3 linked regions of the Canis lupus familiaris genome follow. The protein of the gene in region 2 interacts with the protein of the main gene of each other region in a biochemical or structural test. Links are inferred from orthologs where the notes say so. Each region holds a gene or a part of one and is shown on either strand. Other genes may lie near its edges.

Region 1 (4,150 bases), on a different chromosome or scaffold from region 2:
GTTCAATCCTAAATTTGTGACTCCATTCTCCTAAACTCTTAAATTTATCAACTTACAGGAGTAAGACATGAAAATACTTAGGAAAATTAAAGGAGTCACCTGGTAAATAAATATTCATTGTGAATAAACATACATATACTATAGAAACTAAACTACTGGGATCCCTGGGTGGCGCAGCGGTTTAGCGCCTGCCTTTGGCCCAGGGCGAGATCCTGGAAACCCGGAATCGAATCCCACGTTGGGTTCCCGGTGCATGGAGCCTGCTTCTCCCTCTCCCTCTGCCTGTATCTGTGCCTCTCTCTCTCTCCGTATCATAAATAAATAAATAAATAAAAGACTGTTAAAAAAAAAAAAAAAAGGAAAAAAAGAAACTAAACTACTTTTGAGGGAAATATATTAACTAGATGTAATTACTCTTTTTAATTAGTTCCTTGAAGTTTGTCCTAACTCAAATGATTCAGAAAAATGTCAACACTAAGAACTTTAGGTTTCAAAGATCAGCAGGATCAGAAATTTTGGAGAATAGTGAGCTGAACATTAGTCAACCCTACTATGCAAACTCCAGAAAAGGTGAAGTGATATTACACTGAACTTTAAAAATATATTCAGTGACTTGAACACCCAAGATAATATCAGAGTTCTGCTCTGCTGTGGATGCCACAGCAAAAGAATTATGTCAAAGTACATTAAATTCTTAGGAGACACGAATCAAATCCCAAATCACATCAAGGCAGCTAATATAATAATTAGGGATACTGAGGCTATAGAGGAAAAAGACAAAACAGGAGCAGAACAACTAGATGTCTTTAAATACTTGCAGGATAATCAGAAAAGGAACTAGCATTGTTTTAACTGGCCCTAGGAACAAGAACCAGTGGATGAACAGTATAAGAATGCAGATTTGGCTTAACAATACTTTTCCATATTAGCTTCAGAAGTCAATAAATATGAAGAGTGAGAGGAGAGGGGCACCTGGGTGGCTCAGTCGGTTGAGCGTCTGCCTTTAGCTCAGGGCATGATCCCAGGGTCCTGGGATTGACCCGTCTGTCGAGCTCCCTGCTCATCAAAGTCTTTTTCTCCTTTTGGTTCTGCCTGCTTGTGCTCTTTCTTTCAAATAAATAAATAAATAACATCTTAAAAAAAAAAAAAGAGGAGAAATTTACATAAAGTAGGAAAAAGGAGTCAAAAAAACTGGGCATACTGAATGAGCATTCAACAAACATTTAGGTGCTCCTCTGAAGCAGGACATTAAGTCATGCAGATTAGAATGAATTACATCCATAAGTGAAGCTGACTTCCAATCTTCTATGACAAGAAAAAAGGCAAAGTACGGATGATTCTGAAAGGTATATTTTATGAAGAACAGTCTCTAAGTGGTATTCAAGATATTGCACAATTCCACATGAGACAAGATGATGGACTGTTCTAGTAAATGGTAATGGAGCCAAAAGGAGCAGAGATTTATGGAAACATTTCAGAACTAGAGCTCATGTTACTTGATGACTCTTGGAATAACAGTATTTAGCAGGATTTTTGTGCTAATCTAGCTATTCATCTATTAATAATAACAACAATGGAAGCAAACACACAGTGCTATCTAGGGTGTCAGGCAATGTTCTGAACGTTTTACATAGATTAACTCATTTCATTCTCATAACCCTTTGCAATATATTCTATTATCACGCACATTTTAACGGATGAGAAACTAAGGCTTAGCTTCTATCAGGAGAGTTAGGCAGACAACCGATGTCAAAGTTCTATTAAGAGGTTAGATGCCAGATGGATCTACATAATCCCGGAGCCAAAGCTCTTAAATCAGTAGACAGCTGTAAGGGGAGGCAACAAAACCCAAGGCAGGCTGCATATAATGAGTTAAGAGCCCAGTGGAGTGAGAGCGTTGGCGGAAACACAGGGGTTTGAGGAGAAAGATGACTGAAAGCTAAGTGAGGATTTAGCGGTATCAGAATCACAGGACGTGCTTGTTTTGAAAAAAAGAAAAAAAAAAAAGAGAGAAGAAACAACTCAAACAAACAAAACCTGCATTGAATCCAATTTCCTAAGAGATGGGACCTAGGAAATTTTTTTTTTTTTTTTAAAGCAAAAGCATAACCGAGAAACCCTGGGTAATATTGAGGCCCAAGTAAGCTTTAAAAAGTGCTGTGGCAGATCTCTAAGGTTTCTTAGCGTTTTAGCATTCCAGTCGACACTCTAAATGAATTTCCCAAAAAAATGAAAAGAAGGAGGGGAGATTCCAGCAGTTAAAAAAACAACAAAAACAAAAACACAAAAAACGGCCATGCGTTTACAGTCAACACCGTGTACGCTCCCATTTTTCACTAAACAGGTCCTCACGGGAACAGGGATAAAAAGCAGGCAACGGAAGGAGGGGTGTGGTGTTAAAAAAGCAGGCTTGGGGCAGAACTTTCTGGTACAATTTGCCCGCCAAGGAAAACCTCCCTGACTATAAATACATGTGACAATCCGACTGAAAAATGAGGTGGATTCCTCGGATCCGGGTCCGGCTAACGAAGGATGCCAATATGGTCTTGTACGTGCTCAAAGCGTCGCAGGGAACCTCTAGGCTGGGGCCTGTCTGCTCCAAGGCCAAACCAACCGGGGCTCAGCAGAGGAGGTTGTCTGCTCCGCAATTACAACCTCAAGCACCCTGCTCCCGGAGACCACCTGTGCGCACGTACCCGAGGGTCCCCTCGTAAGATTGATTTCCTCCTCAGTGACCAAGTAATCCACTCTTCCGTTCATGTCTCACCGCTCGGCCGGCTCCGCGCCCGGGTCGGCTGGGACTCGCGCAGGTGAAGGTGAACCAATCTCTGCGCGCCACCCGAGGCACAACGCTTTCGGTTTCAGCAGCCCGCGGACCGGAAGAGGAAGGCGGGCGCGCTGGGAGCGCGGGGCATGCTGGGAGTCGTGGTTCGGGCGGCCAGCCCGCCATCTTTACCTCGCCCGGGTCCGCGCCGCCAGCTCTGAGGTGAGCGACGAGCCGCTTGCCGTCCTCCTTTACCGTCGGGAGTGGGCGTCGTCGAGGTCACTCAGTTGATATTGGTGAGGAGAAATTAAACATGAAATCTCCTGACATCTTAGAAAATCGCTACAAACCTGGGTGTGGGGGGTGGGAAATAAGTTCTGTTACTCAGTAATCCTGAGACCCGAGTGGGAGGAGGGGCGTGCCAGGCGTTGCCGCTAATGCGACTGCAGAGCACGAAGTAGCCGGGCAGGTACCATCCGTTCGATGCGCGTTCTCGTGTAAGAGTTTGCTGTATTCGTTCTTCGGTAAGTCGCCCCTGTAGTGGCCACCCACTTTGTTACTGAATTGCCGTGATCCAAAAGGAAAATAAAACTATGACAAGCAGGTACTTAAAAGCTTGGAGCAAGGCGCTGAGGCGGTAACTCCTACGGGTGAGGGGAGACGGGGCACTATCTTCCTTGATATTTACATTTCAGAGACTTGTACCTCACAAGAGGCTTTTGGGCTTTTAGAAAATTGTATGTATATATAGAAGAGACAAAGGAGGGGTACCTAGGTGGCTCAGTCCTTTAATCCTCCAACTCTTGATATCTGGCCGGGCCCTGAGCTCAGGTTGGTCGGGTCTGTGGAGGCCGAGAATATTAAGGCCATTCCACTCTAAGTTCAGTGTCAGCACGAGTACAGCCATCCCAGGCCCCTGTGAATAAGAGCCGAACTTTACCTTACTTCAGTTACAGGAAGAAAACAGCTTAAAGCTTAACGTCCTAGAAAGCCCCATATTAGAATAAGAACAGAGCTCAATGCCCTTGAAAGCCCCATATCAGAATGTAAACAGAACTTGAGAAATGGTGCAGCCACTCTGGAAAACTGTGTGGAGGTTCCTCAAAGAGTTAAAAATAGACCTGCCCTACGACCCAGCAATGGCACTGCTGGGGATTTACCCCAAAGATACAGATGCAATGAAACGCCGGGACACCTGCCCCCCGATGTTTCTAGCAGCAATGTCCACAATAGCCAAACTGTGGAAGGAGCCTCGGTGTCCATCGGAAAATGAATGGATAAAGAAGATGTGGTTTATGTATACAATGGAATATTACTCAGCCATTAGAAACGACAAATACCCACCGTTTGCTTCGAAGTGGATGGAACTGGAAGGAATTATGCTGA
Region 2 (3,434 bases):
GCATCTCATCAAAAGGGGGGTTACTGTCAGAAATCAGATGCCCAAACAGAGTCACTTATGCTAAGCCCCATGTGGGCAAACACAACGTGATGATAGGTTCAGCTCTCCCAGCAGTGGCGTCATAACCAATGCTAGTTAGATGATCAGACGCCCCTGCCAGCCCCTAAAGGAAAAGGACTTTGCAATAACCGACCTGCTATATTGCCAAGTTGGGCTGACTGCCCCGTGCATGGTTTCGAAGGGCACTTTCCGCTGTAGGCAGGACGTCGCTCGCAGAGCCAGCCACAGCCCCGATCCTGGTCAGCAGCCGGCACCCACTCGAAGCACAGCGAACCCTAGCAATGGGCAAGGGGCATCCGGTCCGAGTGAGCAGCAGGCAGCGAGTTAAACCAAAGGTTAGTATATGCTTGGACCTTCAAGAAGGTAGCCCACCAACTCCTTGCCAGCCGTGGGACACTAACTCCTACAAAGAGAGAATGTGTACAAAAAAGACACTGCTGTTTTTTTCCTCAAATGGCTGTTGAATTTATTTGCTTGATCAATAATGGTCCTGGCAAAAATTAGTTAACCAATGCTGAGACAACTGTAATGAAATACTAATTTTAAAAATCCATGACACCTTGATAGAAATTAAGAGTTTACACAAACAAAAAAGAAACCTTCAATATTGCCAGCAAATATGAAATGAATGTAATATGACCGACAGGACAGCAAGAAGGCTTTTATACGTTTATATTTGACACCTGACCATATCTGCAGTCACCATAATATCTTCTCTCCAGATTTAAAAAAATAGTATGCTGATTTCTATAACAAAGCTTTTTCTCGTACAAAAATCAAACAATGGCCAACAAGTCACAACAGTGCAATAGGTAGAGAATAAAAAAACCGCATCAAACAGGTGCTGAAAATAAATAGTAACTAGGAGAGGACAGAGCCCTCGTGGGGGTTTGTTTCCATCACCTTGAGTGTGTGGGGTATGTCTTCACAGCCATGAGAGCTCACCTACCTCATGGGTGCCGTTTACTCAGACAGGGTGACCGATCCCAGGTGCCTGAGAGCTGACCTCCCAGATGCCTCAGTCACCAGACAAGCTGTAGAAGCAAGAGGACGGGGTCAGGGATCACAGCTATCACTTAAAGGGAAAGTGTTTTTCTATTGCTCAATCTCGTCAATCGGGAGTCCATCAGCAGGTTCGCGGAGATGATACAGGGAACTGAAGACTTGTGTTTAAGAGCATATATGGCTTATTCAGGCAAAGAGACTTTTACATTCTAGCCCAAGCAAGCAATCTACGTCCTTCTGTGTTTAATGGCAGGTCAGACAGATTTCTGGGTTAAGCAACAGATCCTCTGCATGAACGTCTTAGGTCAGGCAGCTACCTTCGACCGACCCAGTGAAAAGCACGCGCTGATCACCAGCAGCGAGGAGCCGGCAGGAGGAGGCGGCCACGCGAGCCACGCTGCCTGGGGCGGGCAGGCAGGCTCCCCTGGCAGTTCTGTCTGTGACTGGCTGGGCCATCCCGTGACTCAGGCCCATGGACTGTGGTTTAGGACTGTCAGAGGAGAGGGTGACAGGGTGGGTAAAGGTAACCTCCATAAGAGCCATTGTGGCCAGTCAGGAAATATGAGGCAGCTCCCCATTATATAATCTGCACCGGAAAGGTGTAAAAGGCACAAGCAGGAGTGACTAGTAAGCAGAGATCCCGGACGGTGAGGCTATGGGGCAATCCACAAGGCGGAAACAGTATTTACCTTGTTTGGCTCTCCCCCACCCCCACCCCGAACGAGAGGAAGAGATCCTGATTCTGCTATAATAAAAAAGCAAAGAAAGACAATTTTTGGTTTAAAAAGAAGCCACTCAAGGGTTAAAATAGTTTTAGTTAACAAAATTAATCTTTAAATAAGCTGACACTATCTGGAAATCTCATCTGTCCCCTACAAGCCCACAATGCGTGCACTGCTCTGTCCTCCTGTGTAACCTGAGCCTGACGCGGAGAAGTCATACGTGTGAGAGAAGGAAGAGTCTGAGAAGGAAAGACATCTTTACAGAATGTACAGCGGAGAGTTGTGCACTCTGACTCTCGGGATTACAGTAAGATGCACAGGTCTCGTCGGGTCTGGAGGTTCCGTGACGCTCGGGCCGCTCAGATGGGTGTCTCCTTTCTGTCTCTGCTTGGTGACGGCTTGGCCTGCTCCTTGCCTGCCTTCGGCTGCTCCTTAGCTGCCTTCACCTCCAGGGCGCCGTCTCTGGGCGGCTCGTCATCGTCCTGTCCCTGCGGCTCGGGCCTGGCTCGCTGCAGCTGCAACAGGCGGAGCTGTACCCGCAGTTCGATGATGGCCTCCCGCTCCTCGTGAACCGCCTGATTCAAGTGATTGTTCTTTATCTGGAGGGGTGACAAGAGAACAGCTGTCACTTAAGAAGGTCAAGATGACAATGATTCAGGAACAGAGAACGGCTAGTGGGGGCCTCCTACACAGGAATCTGTTCTCTGGGGAAAGGTCCCCTAAATTCCTCTCTACTCAGCTGCCTCACTGTTTCCCAAGGAAAGGAAGACCACTTCCAAGGGGAAGAGGTGGCCTCTAGGAGTTTCTGGAAGCTGGTGCTTACTTCTAGCTCTTCATTCTGCCTCTGTAAGTCCTCCAGGATGATCTGCAGCTCCTCTTCATCCTCACTCTCACTCTCACTGTCAGAGGAGTACTCCTCGGTCTCACTGCGGCCATGCTGCTGACGGCTGCCAAGAGAAAAGGACCAGTGATCAGAGGAAGGAATGCTGCTCCCTCCCCACCCTTCCTTTAGATTCACCAGGTTTCCTTGAATTTGCTTAATACAGCACCATTCTTAAGACTTAAGAAGAAACTCAGGGCCACCTGGGTGGCTCAGTCAAGTGAGCTTCTGACTCTTGGTTTCAGCTCAGGTCATGAGCTTGGGGTCACGGGATGGAGCCCAAGGGCTCTGTGCTCAGCAGAGAGTCTGCTTCGGATTCTGTCTCCCCTGCAACTGCATGCACACACTCTCTCAAATAAATAGATTTTTTAAAAAGAGAGAAAAGAAGAAACTTAAAAATGACTGATTCAGATGCCTAGTTCTTGCATATGAAAGTCTGAGAGCTGAAACAATTTTATGTTTATATTTCAGTAAACATTCTTGCAAACTCAAAACCTTCCGCTTTCCTTTACCTCTGAATTTCAGCAATCTCAGCTCTGAGGCGTTCAATCTCTTCTTTTTCTGAGGCAATCTGACGGCGCAGAAACTGCTCCATGGCTAGAAGCTCTTCCTGTTCAGTCAGGATCTCATTCTCCTGAAATAACAGTTACTGGATGAACACCTTTGAGAGTATGAGTCTAAGAAATGTCACTTTTCTGGGGTCCCCTATGTTCCCTTGAATCCTTTAGCCCCATACATACATAACACAAGTTATGAGAAAGCTTGTA
Region 3 (4,241 bases), on a different chromosome or scaffold from region 2:
AGTCAACATCACACAGGCCCCCCCTTAACTGACAAACCTAAACCCTAGGTCACATGAGGAAGGCGCTTAATCAGCAATGTTGGAATAGCCTGCGATGCTGGCAGTGACCAGGGCTCCCTCACCTGGGTGTTACAGAGGCCCACACCACCCAGCTCGCTGGGTACTTGCAGACCAAAGGCCCCCAGCTCCTTGAGGCCTTGCAGTGTGGTCTCCTCCACCTTCTCCAACGTGTCATTCTTGGCAGGATCGTTCACTTCCTGGAGAAGGCACAGGATGTCGCATCCAGGTTCCTTTCTGGCTGCTGAACACCTCTGCCATCCCATCAGGGACCAAAGCCCTCTGTTCCCCCACCCCAGTCCTTCCTCACCTCAAAGAAACGGGACACAGGCCCCACCAGTTCTTTGAGAAACTGGGTCTGCTCCTCACTGAGTACTGTGGGGGAGAAGGACAGGCTGGTCAGGTCACCGGGGAAGTGGAGAGGCCCTGCCCTGCCCCGCCCCGACGACTACTTACCAGATGGGTAAGGGAACACCTGATCGGTGGTGAGCTGACCCTTGAACATCCCCGCAGCAAAGGACTTGGATTCCTGCTCAGGGAGAAGGGGGTTTCAGCGAGCTGTCTGCTGCAGTGGGTGAGCCCCTGGCCTAGGTCCTCCCGGTATGGAGGCCACGTACCGCCTTGGCCTGCTTCTCTCTGGTCGGAGCCTCAGAGGAGTGGGAATCTGACTTCTCCAGAACCGCCTGGGGAAAGGGACAGTTAGCGAGGCCCGGTAAGGGACTCCCGAGGAGCTGGAGACCACGGGAAGCGCTGGGTGCGGGCGGAGGCGGACGCAGCGACCTTTCCCCTACTTCCATCGTCAGGGCACCCTGGCCTGCCCTTTCCCCTACTTTCGGCGCTACCGCGGGCGCCAGGTGTCCGGGACGGAGAGGGAGACCCCTGCCGGCGGCGGGGAAGGGGGAGCCGAGGCGGACTCCGCCTCCCGCTCTGCGCGCCCCAGGCCGCCGTCACTCACCTGAGCGGCCCCACTGGCATAGGGTCGGCAGGCCGGACCGGGCAGGGGCTGCCCCAGGAGCGCGCTGGGCCGCGAGCTGTGGGGAGCGGGGGCTCAGTCCGGGTCCCCGGTCCCGCTGCCACCCCGGCCCTGCCCTCCTGTCCGACTCGCACCTTCCGACCCCCAGCCTCCGCAGCTGCCGCCCCACGCTCGGGGCCATCCGTGCCGCCTGCATCTCCCAACCACTCCGGTCGCCGCGGTCCTGAGCGCAGATCTAGCGCCGTCCACCCGTCTGCCAAAGACTGGCTGCCCTGGTCCGGTCTTGACTCATCGTCCACAATGCACCGGGGGGGCTGGGCTTCCGGCCGCCAGCGCATGCTGGGAGATGTAGTTCCGGGGCGGGGCCTCCCCCACCCCGCCCCTGCATTCTGGTTAACGTAGGGCTATCTCCAGACGTTTCCGTCTCTCCCAAACGCCTTCGTCCCACCCGGCCCAGCTCGAGTGTAGCCCTCGGAAGGGGCGATGGGATAGGCTGGGGTGGAAGGAGGAGCAGCTCAGGCTTTTGCAGCCGGAGGGATGGAGGGTGGGCCAACAGGAGGACTTCCCCGGTGGAGTTGGAAGGGAGAGGTGGGAGAAAAAAAATGTAAGACGGCGGAAGCAGGGGCAGATGACTCTATGGAGTCCCTTGTGAAACCCATCTCCATCAACACGAGAGGGAGGGACATGGTGGCGTGGGGCGGCCCAGGTATATTCTCCTGAGACCTGAGGTGTCACTAACTTTAGAAACACCTGAATTCTCACCGTAGGGCCCTCCCCTCCCTTCCCCTCTGCAAATTCACCGCCTCCCCATTGGGGCGCTGGAGTCTCTGCCCTTGTTTCCTCCTGAGACTGTGTGACATCCTGGACTCTTCCCAGGGGGAGTGGAACTGTAGGGATTCTTCTGTCGCCCACTCTCACCACACACACCTAGCTCTGGGTCAAGGAGTCCCAGGTCATGTATAGGTCATGTATACCCCTGCCCTGCTGACACACCCAGTGGGGAGAGGCCTGGGCTGGGGCTGCAGGAGCCTCCTTGGGGACACCCCTCCACCCCCACCCCCGTCCCCAGTGCCCAGTCCCTCTGGAAAGTGCAGCAAACTCACCCCTGGCTTTGGGAAGAGAGACCATTGTGCCAGGCGACCCAGGGGGTTAGGACAGGACTGCCCACTTCGGTGGCTAAAGGCTAAAGGCTGGAACCTGGTGGGGAGGCAGCTCAGCTCCAACCCTGGGGATTAGGGAGATTAAAATCAGAGAAGAGAGATGTCCGAGAGACCCAGAGGTGAAACTGGAGAGTCCCATGGAGGAAAGGCCTGGGGGCGGAGCCGAGTGGGGCTGGGACTTGAGGACCCTCCTGCTGATCCTTCCCCACCCCACTTAAGCCCAGGGAGAGGGGACAGGCTAGGGGAGGTGAGTGAGCCGCGCCTTGGTCCATGGGTCTCTTCCCCATCCCATTCCTCCCTCGCTTGCATTTCACCAGCTCCCCGGTCAGCCCTCTGGCTCCTGGCCCCCCCACTGTTGCGATGGGCGCCCCCTCTCTTGGCTGTCCTGCACAGTGACCTCTTCCAGGCCCTGCTGGGTGAGTAGCCCTGATTCTCTGGGGACGCTGGGGTGCGAAGGGCTGGCCTGGGCCTGCCAGGGCAGTGAACACACTTGGGGGACTGTCCGGTTGGCAGCCAGGAGGCCCTAAGGTGCCAGCAGCAGTCAGGGCAGGGGTGGGGGCAGGGGAGCCCCCCCAGGTGGGGTGGGGGAGGGTAACTCAGCTGTATTCTGGTGACAGACATCCTGGACTATTATGAGGCTTCCATCTCAGAGAGCCAGGTAAGGGGGTGAGGTGGGGCGCCTCCCCAGAGGGGCAGACAGGGCAGGGGCCGAGCTGCCGCCCCACCCTTGGGGGCCTTGAAGACAGACTTCTGAGCCCGGGGTGCAGAGAATCCCAGACTCCACGGTCCTGTTGGTCCCTTTCCCCTTCTGCTTCCCCGCCCCCCTCCTCCCTTGGCCCCAATTTCGGGCATAAGGAGTCCAGCACAGAATTACTTCTCATCCTTCCTCCTGTGCAGCCTGAGGGAGAGCTGCCCCCCCACCGGACTCCCCCCTGCCTGCCCCCCCAGACCCCCCCTCCCGCCAGCCAGCACTGCAACTAGCATGGGTGCTGCCAGCCCCACAGCGGGTGCTTCCTCTCCTGAGACCCAGGAGGCCTCCTGATCTCTGGCGCTGGTGCCTGGCCAGGCCTCCATCTTTGCCTTGGGGCCTGTCTGCCTCCGCTCTGCTCTCCTCTCCCATTATCCGGGTTCCTGCCAGCACTGAAGCAGTTAACTCTGCCAAGGCACCCCCCCATCCTCGCTCCTCGCTCCCTCCCTCCCTCCCCCTGCTTCCTCTCTCCTCCTCTCTCCCCTTCCCTCCTCGGCTCCACGGCTCCCTCGGCCGCTGCCGCCTCCAACCCCCCCACCCCACTCCCCCGCCGCGGCCCTAGCCCCTGGCCGGCAGGCAAGACCCCCCCCCTACCCCGGGGCTCCCTGAAATCCAGTTCCCCTCCCCCACCCAGCTCATGCCCCAGCCCCCGAACTCCGGGGCTGCCAGCCCCCGGTGCCCCCGCCCCTCCTGAGAATCGGGGTGTGCTCCCCAGGCCCCCTCCCCTCCACTGGGGACTCCCTTCTAGGGCCCCCTTCCCCTCCCTCCCACGCACCCCTCCCCTTCCCTTCTCCAACCCCCTCTTTCCCCTCTCACCCCTCCCCCCATCCTGGCCCCCCCTGCAAAAGTGGGGTGCGGAGGGGGGAGGGGTGAGAACCCACAGAGGGGAGGAACGAAACTCCGATGAAGTCAGAGCCCCTTACCCGCCGCCGCGGCCAGCCCCCCCAACATGGACTGTCTCTGTATAGTGACAACCAAGGTAAGCACGATAGGGGGGCTCTCAACTGGGGGGAGGGTATGAGTTTGTGGGGAGGGGTTAGGCAGGCCTGATCTGGGGCTGGGGGCTGGGAGTGTACTGGGGGGTCATGATTTACTTTGGGGGTTCACATTTGAGATCATGCTAGGTTTGGCCACAGGTGCCCCCTGGAGTGATCTCTTTGTACCTGTAGAGAAATGGAAAATTTGGGCTGTTTTGTGGTTTGGGGGGGCTGATGGGTTTTGGGGTTCACCAATGATGTTTGAGGGAGACTTATTTAAGGAGAAGCCTGGCTCACATGGGAGTCCTGCTCTTGTGCATTAGAAG

The links.
Region 1: the proteins of RALBP1 (region 2) and SYNJ2BP form a complex in vitro, tested with the Homo sapiens proteins (2 studies listed by BioGRID and IntAct, with this or other methods). The link is inferred for Canis lupus familiaris from reciprocal best matches to the Homo sapiens genes RALBP1 and SYNJ2BP.
Region 3: the proteins of RALBP1 (region 2) and DLG4 interact in a biophysical measurement, tested with the Homo sapiens proteins (2 studies listed by IntAct, with this or other methods). The link is inferred for Canis lupus familiaris from reciprocal best matches to the Homo sapiens genes RALBP1 and DLG4.

What each region holds. Positions count from the first base shown.
Region 1 is NC_049229.1:44,347,995-44,352,144, forward strand, and holds the start of SYNJ2BP (synaptojanin-2-binding protein), read right to left. Parts: upstream 2,801-4,150; 5' UTR 2,761-2,800; coding exon 2,697-2,760; intron 1-2,696. UniProt on the Homo sapiens protein: Regulates endocytosis of activin type 2 receptor kinases through the Ral/RALBP1-dependent pathway and may be involved in suppression of activin-induced signal transduction.
Region 2 is NC_049228.1:75,593,877-75,597,310, reverse strand, and holds the end of RALBP1 (ralA-binding protein 1), read right to left. Parts: intron 3,302-3,434; coding exon 3,180-3,301; intron 2,735-3,179; coding exon 2,611-2,734; intron 2,387-2,610; coding exon 2,147-2,386; 3' UTR 501-2,146; downstream 1-500. UniProt on the Homo sapiens protein: Multifunctional protein that functions as a downstream effector of RALA and RALB. As a GTPase-activating protein/GAP can inactivate CDC42 and RAC1 by stimulating their GTPase activity.
Region 3 is NC_049226.1:32,393,065-32,397,305, reverse strand, and holds the start of DLG4 (disks large homolog 4), read left to right. Parts: upstream 1-1,441; 5' UTR 1,442-1,567; coding exon 1,568-1,736; intron 1,737-2,411; exon of another isoform or gene 2,412-2,507; coding exon 2,508-2,606; intron 2,607-2,807; coding exon 2,808-2,848; intron 2,849-3,730; exon of another isoform or gene 3,731-3,887; coding exon of another isoform or gene 3,888-3,917; intron 3,918-4,241. Other genes in the region: ACADVL (very long-chain specific acyl-CoA dehydrogenase, mitochondrial), read right to left, coding at 123-257, 368-432, 514-586, 675-740, 1,013-1,088, 1,165-1,226. UniProt on the Homo sapiens protein: Postsynaptic scaffolding protein that plays a critical role in synaptogenesis and synaptic plasticity by providing a platform for the postsynaptic clustering of crucial synaptic proteins.